3 linked regions of the Oryctolagus cuniculus genome follow. The protein of the gene in region 1 interacts with the protein of each later gene in a pairwise test. Links are inferred from orthologs where the notes say so. Each region holds a gene or a part of one and is shown on either strand. Other genes may lie near its edges. The genes, in order: EFHC1, ZBED1 and KCTD4.

The links.
Region 2: the proteins of EFHC1 (region 1) and ZBED1 interact in binary tests that used the Homo sapiens proteins (3 or more experiments, as listed by UniProt). The two-hybrid records come from large-scale screens. The link is inferred for Oryctolagus cuniculus from reciprocal best matches to the Homo sapiens genes EFHC1 and ZBED1.
Region 3: the proteins of EFHC1 (region 1) and KCTD4 interact in binary tests that used the Homo sapiens proteins (3 or more experiments, as listed by UniProt). The two-hybrid records come from large-scale screens. The link is inferred for Oryctolagus cuniculus from reciprocal best matches to the Homo sapiens genes EFHC1 and KCTD4.

What each region holds. Positions count from the first base shown.
Region 1 is NC_091436.1:117,561,998-117,565,749, forward strand, and holds the start of EFHC1 (EF-hand domain-containing protein 1), read right to left. Parts: upstream 2,390-3,752; 5' UTR 2,217-2,389; coding exon 2,154-2,216; intron 1-2,153. UniProt on the Homo sapiens protein: Microtubule inner protein (MIP) part of the dynein-decorated doublet microtubules (DMTs) in cilia axoneme, which is required for motile cilia beating.
Region 2 is NC_091433.1:98,523,442-98,527,093, forward strand, and holds part of ZBED1 (E3 SUMO-protein ligase ZBED1), read right to left. Parts: coding exon 2,629-3,652; 3' UTR 1-2,628.
Region 3 is NC_091440.1:64,328,622-64,332,373, reverse strand, and holds the start of KCTD4 (BTB/POZ domain-containing protein KCTD4), read left to right. Parts: upstream 1-1,448; 5' UTR 1,449-1,665; intron 1,666-3,752.

The sequences.
Region 1 (3,752 bases):
GCGCTGCAGCCGGCGCACCGCGCTGATCCGATGGCAGGAGCCAGGTGCTTCTCCTGGTCTCCCATGGGGTGCAGGGCCCAAGTACTTGGGCCATCCTCCACTGCACTCCCAGGCCACAGCAGAGAGCTGGCCTGGAAGAGGGGCATCCGGGACAGAATCCGGCGCCCCGACCGGGACTAGAACCCGGTGTGCCGGCGCCACAAGGTGGAGGATTAGCCTAGTGAGCCGCAGCACCGGCCCTTCTTTTGCTTCTAAAGACAGAAGTGACAACAGGACTTCAGTTAGCTTTTCTGGCTTTAGACAGATGTCTCTATCATCAATTATGACTCAAAGGTACCTGAAGCAAGGCCACTACCCCTCCTACTTATCAGTTTCACCTTCTGAGTACCCTTAGAGTTACACATATCTAGTCTTTACTGTTGAAGTGATAGTGGTCATGTTGTTCAAATCTCAAATAAAGCAAATTGTTTGACACTTGGTCAATATGTTTAAAATGTGAAACCGGCAGGCATTTGGTCTAGTGGTTAAGACACCCACATAGTACATTGGAGTACTTATGCTTGACACCCGGCTCAGGCACCTGACTCCAGCTCACTGCTAATCCAGACCCAGTGTTGATAGTCCAGACGATTGGGTTCTTGCTACACATGTAGGAGACCTGGTTTTATTCCTGGCTCCCACTTTGGGCCTCAGCCCAGCCCTGGCTGTCACAGTTATTTGTGAGGTGAACCAGTAGATGGCAACCTTCTTTCTCTCTCTCTCTCGCCCTCTCAAATGAATAAGTGAAAATTATTTAATAAAACATATGAAACATGTCCAATGCACAGTTTATCTTATTTAAAGTATAGAAATACATCTGTCTACCTTTAGGGCATGGTACTTCTATCCACACATCTTTAAGCCCCAAAGCAACTCAACCCTGCCTTGTGGATAACCCATACTCCCCATCACCAACTGCTTAAGCTTATCCTGCATGGGGCAGGAAACTGCATACAACATCGTCTAAATCACATACAACCAAAAAGTCCACTGAAACTGGAAATCTATCAGAACCCAAATTCTCTCACTAAAATTTCAACTTCAATTTAAATTCATTCTTCCAAAGAAAACAGAGCAAATATTTTATCTTAATTTTATGAACATGGAATTAAGTGTTTAAATATGAACATGAATTTCAGTGCTTAAATCATTAAAATATATAAATTATTGTTGCTTTGCCTATAAAATTACTGAATACTGATTTTCCAGAAAATATATTTCACCAATTATGTTAGAATTAAAGCAAATGCTAAGCTGCTGCTGCTATTGGAGGAAAGAGCAAAACAAAATCAAAAGAGGAATCTCACAAATACTCGGGAGTGAAATGAATCAGACTGGGTAAGAGAAAGGAACAACCAATCAACTGTGGTCGAGGAGAAGCGGATGGAATGGAGTATCCCCTAGAAAGTAGGGAAGGATGGTGGGCAAGTTTAAAAAAAAAAAAAACTGCATGGGGGAGAGCAAACAAGAACAGGAAGAAGGTGGGACTAGAAAAGACAGGCTGGAGAGAAAGGCGCATATTAGAAGAGTCCGGCAGAAAGAAGGGATGAATGGAAACGATCCATGTGCCCATTAAACAGGACATGGAGCTGGCGTGGGAGAGACTATAGGGTTCAGGATTCAGAAGAGGGAGGAGGAGGGCGGAGGAGAATGACGGGCCTGGGCAGAGGGGGTAGGATAGGGGGGCAGGAGTGACGGTGTCGGAAGAGAGAGGCCGGGGGACAAGGTGGGCAGACAGGGCCCGGCGTGGGAGAGTGAGCCGGGCCAGAGCTCGGGAGTTGGAAGGGGGAAACTGATCCAGAGAGCAGAGGCAGGGGGCCGGACCAGCAAAGCAAGTGCAAAAGCGGCTCGGAGGAAGAGGGCCAAGAAGCGCCAACAGACTGCCACGATGGCGTGGGAAAACCACAGAGAGGGACGGCGCCGAGGACATGGGACGGAAGAGGGAAGATGAGGCGAGGTTAATGAGGAAGACAGAACTTGGGAGGAGAAGCAAGAACGAGGTCGGGGCAGAGGGTCGGTTTGAAGGGTAGAGAGGAATGAAGGTGTAGTACGAGGGGAACCCGCTAGGGACGGGGACGTGGGGACAGGTGGGTGTTGGGCACCTAAGTCCTCACCGTGGAGTCCTTAAAGGACGTGCCTGGTAGAAAGGGCAGGCCATGCACGGGGTTGGACACCATCGCAGCCGGTATCCTCGCCGCCAGCTAGGTCAGGTATGGTCCACTTTGGTTGCCGGGGCGACCAGCCGCGTTGGCAGGCCGCCCCAGGCTCCATGGTAACGCCCAAACATCCTGAGAGCCCGTGAGCCAGGGGCGGGGCCGGAGGCGCCGGCGTGAGAGGTCTGCGCGTGCGCAGCCGCGGGGCTGCGTATTCTCGCGGTAAGGCGGTCGCGACGGCGGGGCGCGGCTAGTGGGCGTTTCCGAGATGGCCACGCCTGCCCCGCGTCACCGCCGCCGGTCTGCCCCAAGATGCTACGTGGGGGCTGTGGGACAGGGTAGGAAAAGGCGGGTGCAAAGGAGGCTGTTCGTTCTTGCTGGGAGGTCCAGGGTCCGAGCTGGCCCTTAGAGGAGTTGCAGAAGATAGGTGCCTTCCTTGGCCCCACCCTGGTCCTCGCCGATCTCACCGCGCACTGAGGGCTTCGTGAGCCCAGGCACTCTTCTCACCCAGCTCTGGGAAAAGGAATCCTGTCCTAGTGTGATGGTTAGTCCGGGTGAAAGTGTGAACCCAACTCAGACCCACACTTTTTGGGGACAGGGACTGCGGATCATTCATGGTTGTATTTCTGTTGTGCAGGGATGGTCAGTGAACCAGTGCAACCATCTCGTCCCTAATCGTCTCGTTGCTGTATTATCCCCCGTTCCCTTCAGCCTTCCTTCTTCCACTGTCAGCCCCTGCAGCTCAGCTCCCTCTCGGTTCTTGTGTGGCGTGCCTTGCATCTTCTCTTTCAGACGCTATGCGATGCTCTAAGAACTCAACGTTTGTTGACTCAAGAGCTAGAGGTTGCTCATCCCAATCCAGTTTGTACTTGCAACTGCAAAGATAAGAAACGCAAAGGTAAACAGCTGATTCAAGGAGAAACACTAGGTGATGAGAAAGAAACAAATAACTGAGGTGAAATATCATCAGCGTCATAAGTGTTCTGGCCTTTGGTGCCTTTTACAAAACTTGTTTTTCCTTAAAAGAAATGTTATCCTATTCCTGAGACATTTTAGGAGGGGGGGAAAAAGCGCTATTCATCAGCCTAAAGATCTTAAAGACAAAAAGCAAACATAGGAGGCCAGAGATTTGTACTCATTGGGTCTGAAGTGGATCCCAGGAATCTGATTTTTCTAACAGGTGTTTCTGACTTGTCAGCTTAGGAACGTGATAGTGTAGCAAGCCTCACACAGAAGTGCAAGTCACCTTCGTGGGTAATTTCCTGCTTGTATAGATGGCAGCTTTACTTTTTATTGCTGCTTGCTGGAGCAAATCTCCCTGTTGGATTTTACCAGTTGGTATGAACATCAGGGGTGCCTAGGACAGGAATGCACTCAGTGGCTCCTGAGGCAGTTTTTGATGCCTGTCTACCACACCCAGCCCAAAAGAGTTTCTTGTCTAGTGACTCCCTCGTCCCCTACTACCTGTTTCCCATTCTTGTCCTTTTTTTTTTTTTTTTTTTACAAGCGGAGTTAGACAGTGAGAGAGACACAGAGAGAAAGGTCTTCCTTCCGTTGGTT
Region 2 (3,652 bases), on another chromosome or scaffold:
GCCACAACAGGCAAGAAAAGCAAGCTTCTGGGGAATGGAAGAAGCCACCGAGAACGTTCTAGAGAAAAGCAGCTGTAGGGCATGGAAAGCCAAGACACTCTGGCAAAAAGATCCCTGTGAGTGAGATCCCAGTGGAAAGAACAGGTCTTCAAAGAAGGAGGTACCTTTCTCTGAAGAGAGGAGAGAACCTCCACTTTGACTATGACCTTGTTTAAACAAGAGTCGGAGAACTCAGAGGGCTTCCATAGCCTTGGAAACTCATGACTGGAGCATAGGGAGATTACTGATGCCATAGACAGGAGTGTCAATTGGTAAAGTCAACAACAGGAGTCACGGTGCACTTACTCCTCATGTAGGATCTCTGTCCTTAATGTGCTGTACATTGAGATTTAATGCTATAACGAGTACTCAAACAGTATTTTTCACTTTGTGTTTCTATGGGGGTGCAAACTGTTGAAATCTTTACTTAATGCATACTAAACTGATCTTCTGTTAAAAAAAAATTTATCAATTCCCAACTTGACTCTCACTGGGATTAAACATGACAATAGGTCTGATCTGATTTCATCATCATTTAAAAAAATCATCTATTATTTTTCACTTTATGTTTCTGTGTGGGAGCAAATTGTTGAAATCCTTACTTAATGTATACTAAGCTGATCTTCTGTATATTAAGAGAATCGAAAATGAATCTTGATGTGAATGGAAGGGGAGAGGGAGTGGGAAAGGGGAGGGTTGCAGGTGGGAGGGACGGTATGAGGGGGAAGCCATTGTAATCCATAAGTCGTACTTTGGAAATTTATATTCATTAAATAAAAGTTAAAAAAAAAAAAGCAGCTGTAGGGCCGTCTTCTCAGCTGAGACTAGGCAGGCGGAAACCAGGGACTGGGACTCTATCCAGGTCTCTCAGGTGAGTGGCAGGGACCCGAACACTTGCACCATCACCTGCTGCCTCCCAGGATCCGCCTTAGCAGGAAGCTGGATTTGGGGGGTGGAGCTGGGACTGAACCCAGGCTTTGAGATATGAGACACAGCCACCTCAACCGTGAAATGCCCACACCAAGAGTCAGTGAGTAAAGCAACAATGAAAAAAAAAAAAAAACACAGAAAAGGCTTAAAAAATGAGAAATGAGGCATGGAGAGGCAGGTGTCTGCAGAAACACACATTTTCCTGTGTAATAAAAGGGGTTTTTTGTTGGTTGTTTTTCATACTATTTGTTGAACTCTTAGTGTAGGGTTAATTGTATATGTATAAAGTTAATTGAAAATAGTTCTTAGTAAAAAATAAGAATGGGACTAGGAGAGGGAGGAGGAAGAAGGGTGAGAGTGTGGGTGGGAGGGAGGGAGGGTGGCGTGGGAAGAATCATTAAATTTGTTTACATGAAATTCATGAAGTTTGTACACCTCAAATAAAAGGTTACAAAAATTTTTTAAAAACAGGAGTCACAAAGTCCCTCTTAGGGAAAGCAGGCTTTCTGGCAAGTTCTAAAATAATTCCCCTGTTGGAAAAATGTCTTTTGACTTCCTCCAAAATTATCAAAGAAAACCTATGATGACCCTCTGCCCCCAAAACAATATAACAATTAAAAAAAATAACACTATACCACCTCCTAAGTCACTGAGGTGGAAAAACAGAATTCAAGAGATATGCCTTGGTCACCCTCACTTTTCAGAATGGTGAAGAGCTGGGCAAGTGCAGGTCACAAAATGAAAAGCCTTATTCTCAATCACCCCGAAAGCAACTGCACATATCAGACATCAAGAGACACAGGAATCACAGGCTCAGAATGCCACAGCTTGGAAGGACTGTGTCTACAAAGCAAATATTTGGCCAACACTAGAGATGACCATTTGCAGGCAGTATGACCAGAGATATCCCACACACAACAACATTTTTTTACCCAAATGTGTGCATTTTATGCTCATTAACACTTCTCACCACCAACCATAAAACTTGGGGATTTATAAGAGATGCACATGGCAATCTTGTCCAAGTTTACACAGGAAGCAGCCTCCTGCTTTCAAGGAAGATGTGTACGTGCAGCAAGCTCATGTATGATAACCAATGCTTGGGGGAGGTTCCTTGTGTCCCAACCTGAGCTCCGGGCATTCCTCCCCTTCATCCACGATGCCCAGGGCTGCAACAAAAGCCCTCCCAGGAAGAACATGAATTGCAGGGAGGAAAAACATTCTGCGTGCTCTGGTTTGGGATTTGCAACTGCCAGACAGGAACTGGGTGCAGAGCTAATCTCCTGAGTCTCAAGGATAAGGAGAAACCCACAGAGGAAAATTCATTTGGTGGGCTCCAAGATGCTCAGGGCCATGCCCTTCTTCCTTCTTCTCACCTGTCTCAGTTCACATGCCGTGCATTGTCTCTGAGATCAACATGGAGCCAGCCGAGTCAATATTTAGAGTGGAAACATCCCCACCGTGGGCCACACAACTACCAAAACTGAATCATGAAGACACAGAAAATCTTAAACTGACCCATTAGTCAAGACACAGAATCAATCATAAAGACCCTCCCCAGACAGACAAATCCAGAACCTCATGGCCTTACTGCCAACTTCTACAAGACTTTTCAAGATGAATTCATCGCAGTTCTCAAGCTATTGGAAACCATTGTCCCTATAAGAAGCTGGTGTCTCTGATGCCAAAGAAGGTGCCATTGGTGCCATCCCCCAGCTGGAACACCTGCTCCTGGTCCAAGCCCCACTCGCCCTCATCTTCATCTTGGGGTTCACCCTCAGCCCCAGAGCTCCGGGCATTCTCATAGAGAAAGATCTGCTCATCAACATGCGCGGGGGCCAGGCGGTTCCTCTTGGCACTGACCATGTTGGCCGATGATCCAAAGAGGCGCTCAGGAAAGACACGCGTGGCCGCCACGCACCAATACTTCTGCAGCACCTTGGGCAGGCCAGGGAAGAGTGCTAGGCGATCCGACCACCACTTGAGGGGGTCTTCGTGGAGGCCGAGCAGCTTCTGTGACTTGAAATTGCTCAGCTCCTCCATAGCCTGGGCGTGCCACTCTTCCTGGTCCTCCCCACAGTCCACAGGGCAGAAGATCTCAGCCAACAGGTCGTGGATGGCGGTACTGGATGGGGGTGTGGATGCCAGCGGGAGCTTCTTGGCCGGCGGCTCTTCAGGTACAGGGTAGACCTTGTCCTCAGACGCTGTCGGCCCCAAGTGGGCATCCTGGGCCTTGTCGAGAAGACCCTTCAGCTCATCCACCACACGGTTCTCCACCTGCTGCCTCTTGAAAGCAGACAGGAAGGGCAGCCTCTTGTACCGTGGGTCCAGGAAGGTAGCCACGTTCAGGAACAGGTCCACCTCAGGGCTGTCCTGGTATGTCCTGGAGAGCTCCTTGGCAATGACCTCCTTAGCCATGCTGATCTCCTTGGGGTCCGTGTCCTTGGCACTGAGCGTGCTGTTCAAAAGCATGTGCAGAAGTGGCTTCACCATGCTGATGGCGGGGTACCTGGAGGTGGCCAGTGTCTCAGCCACTTGCTGGAAGGGCTGCAGGAGGTCCACGAGTCCCGCCACAGTGGTCCACTCAGCAGACTCCAGCATAAGGTGGTGGTTGTTGCTGTCCTCCACCAGCACAGCCGCTACAACCAACTGCTGCTCCTGGAGCCGCCGCAGCATGGCCAGC
Region 3 (3,752 bases), on another chromosome or scaffold:
CAGGCATCCTTTACTCATATTCCCAGACCACATTTTGAAAGCTCCTAGTCTAGCTGGATGGTAAAAAGGCATACAGATAGTAGACAATTTTAAATCAGCAGAAGCATTTATGATACACCTCCACTGAACTCCTTTCCATGCTAATGAAGGCTTTCCGTTCCCCAATATCAAACACAGGGACAGATGCCCACAGCCTGCCATACGATACTGGATAGCAGGTCAATCTCTGGTACTCCCACATGCTTCTGCTCACACTAGGCTGGAACTTGTTTATGCTAGTTTCAGTATTTATGCAATTCTATTATATAACACATAAGCCCATCAAATTATGAGTATAAGTGAGGGGGTAAGCTTTGTTAATACTTGATATAAACTGCCGGAAAAAATTTAGGTATGTGTGAGATAAGCAGAGACAGGAAGAGAAACATAAGAATCTAGAAAGATCTGCACCTGTGTTGCTTCATAGTGTCTTAAGTTCTTGTTCCTTTTTGAAGCAACCAAAACTGAAAATCTAAACTAAATTATGGGTTTAATTTTTCCAGGAAAGAAAAAGCAGATGGTCATTCAGCACCCCATACTCAAAGGCCTTGTCTTCCATGTAATCAGCAGCTAAATGTACTTTTATAAGTTTTAAAATTAAATATTAAAGCAGGATGGGGCCAGCACTTGGCCATTTCTTCAATACTTCTTGGATTCCAGGAAATATTCATGGCTCCTTTCTAAATTCTGGCATACCTACCTCTCCTCTTTGTCTAGCCTGGCTTGTTAACTGGTTTCTGCTACTTGAAAACAAAAGAATCTTAGTACAAACACCTTTGGTGATGGTATATTGTTTATGTACTTCCTATCACTTAGTTTCAGAAAATTTTAAAGCACAGGTTACATAAAGTACATCTTATAAAAATAACTGAAGGCTTCTAGTTATGATTCTGTCACTAATTAGCGCTAGTTTGCAGAAGTAAATTCACATCTCTGTGCCACAGCATCTATATAATGAAGCCATTGGAACCTGTGGGATCTTCTCTACTTGTATTTCACTACAAAAACATTGGCCTTCCTCTCCAACTGAGGGTGTTTGATTACTTCATTGGTGCTATTTTGTTTGCTCTAGTACATTCTAAGGGAGCCAATATAATTAAATTTTCTTTGAGCAAAAACTACAGGGAAACTGTTTCTCAGAGCAGCAGCAACAACAAAACATTAAAAAACTGCCCAAGACGTGAAAAAGGTCAAAATGTTGTTCTAGGCCGAATCTTCCTACTCTGCATTTGAACTTGAGATGTACTCTTTTTGGGACAACCGAAATGACTGAATAGCCCTTTTCATCTGCTAAGGAAATTCCTAGGTGACACAAGCAGTGAGTAAGCAGGAAGGGTGCTCACTGGTGCTGGCACTGGCACGTAAGCAATGAGATCAGGCATGTCAGGAAGTCACAGGCATCAGGATGCTAGAGGCATCCATTCCCACTCTGCACCCAGCTGAATGTGGAGGCCTTGAAGAGCTCACTGGACTCCAGGTAGAAGAGACCAAGGGTGTTAGCAGCCAAGATTTTGGGGTGATCCTCAAGACTGCAGTACTCCCCTGGTTCTTCTGTATCTCCCACCTGTGTCTACACTCTCAGGAAAAGGACAAGAGATATTCCCAGAGACGAAGTGCATTTCAAAGGTAAACCATTTTTCATTTCTAATTGTCTCCTTTCTTTACACATGAGGCAATTTCTTCACAGTTTTCTGCTGTTGCTACCCTGTGGTTCTCAGATGAAGCCTATTAATACAAGCCACTTGGCATTTTAACCAGATAGGCAAACTTCCTATCCTAGTATTAATATAGAAGTTGGTCTTTATTCAAATATGCAAATATGTTCTTATCTCTATTTACTTTTCAAGAATCTTAGGAATAAAAGATGATGATCAGATTAAAGTAACCTAACCCTTTAGGGTTAGCATTTGATGATCTCAAAGGTAATGAATGATCAGTCACATAATAATATTCAAATCAGAAATATAATGAGGTTTCAAAATGTTTATGGAGGACTAGGATTAAAAGATACTGTGCCTTTTCCATGAACATTTTGAAGGCCCCTCCTATGTTCAGTGTGCTGTGGCCGTAGCAGCCATTTGGGGAGTGAGCCAACAGAAGGAAGACCTTTCTCTCTGTCTCTCTCTCACTGTCTATAACTCTACCTGTCAAATAAATACAAAAAAAAAAAAAGCTTGCTGTCTAAAGATGAACAAATTATCATTTAAATTTGTAATTTCCATCTTGCAGTAAAGTAACACTTGAAACAAGGAGGGGGATGTATAAAAATACCTAAAGCATTAGGAAACACATCCTTCTGGAAAACTCATGTCTCCTGGAGCACTGACTTATACCACACTGCTACTTTGATCAAATAGCGCTCAAGTCCACAGCAGAACTTAAGACCCCTGCATTTAGGAAGACTGCAACAGAGCTGAAGACTCAGTACTCATGAAACACTTACAGACCAGCTAATGGTATTAACTCAGCTGAATATGCTACAAATTCCATTGATTTTGTATCCTTCGTAACTCTTGGTCTCTTTCCCACGTTTAACTAGTAACAGTAGTCATCCCATATACTAGTTTAGTTCTTTATGATTTTCCAGATATTCTGAAATTATGAGACCCTCACAACGAAAGGGTAGAGATTTCAACCCCACCATTGATCCTTGAGATCAATCCCCTTTCTTGAGCTCATCCTTTTCCTTAATAGGGCACTTTTTGTTTGGTTTTGACAGGCAGAGTGGACAGTGAGAGAGAGAGACAGACAGACAGAGAGAAAGGTCTTCTTTTGCTGTTGGTTCATCCCCCAATGGCCGCTGCGGCCGGTGCGTTGTGGCCAGTATACCGCGCTGATCCGAAGGCAGGAGCCAGGTGCCTCTCCTGGTCTCCCATGCGCGTGCAGGGCCCAAGGACTTGGGCCATCCTCCACTGCACTCCCGGACCACAGCAGACAGCTGGCCTGGAAGAGGGGCAACCGGGACAGAATCTGGCGCCCCGAACGGGACTAGAACCTGGTGTGCCGACGCCGCAGGCTGAACTCACACACACACACACACTCCTCACTGGGCCCACTCCCAAAGATTCTGTGTTTACTGTGTTGTGGAGCATTTGTATAACCTCCACAGATAACTTTAATTCTTTCTTTGTCTCTCTTCATCCTCCTTTACACACACACACTTCCCTCCCTCCGTTCTCCTCTCCCCTTAAATTTCATTTTCTTGTGACATGAGGGGAAGAGCTCACGGGGCTGCCTAAATATTTCATTAACTCAAAGATGACATCAATTGTAATATTCCCCATTATTCACAGTATCATTAGAAACATAAAATGCTGCCACTAAACTTTGACAAGCCAATCATTTTGACATACTTCAATTTCAGAAACATCAAGTATGAAAAAAAATGTGAAATACGCTCGAGTTCTCTGTCCCTAATTTAAAACTGCTCTACTCTGTAAATAAGAAAGCACATTTGTCCCATAAGTCACATAGCCTTTACGTCTGTTCAGGCTCCCTTCTCCCCCTGCAGACACAGAGGATGTGAAGACAGCAACAGAAGGAACAATGGGAGGGGACAGCATTGGGGAGAAGAGACCCTCTTTGGTCACTGAACACCATCATCTTCAGGCATGTCCCTCATCTTGAGATCATAGATAATGGTTATTAACTTAAAACATCTCCTTCCCTGAGATGGGAAAACTTCAGTTTGCAAATGGCACTATAAAAATGAG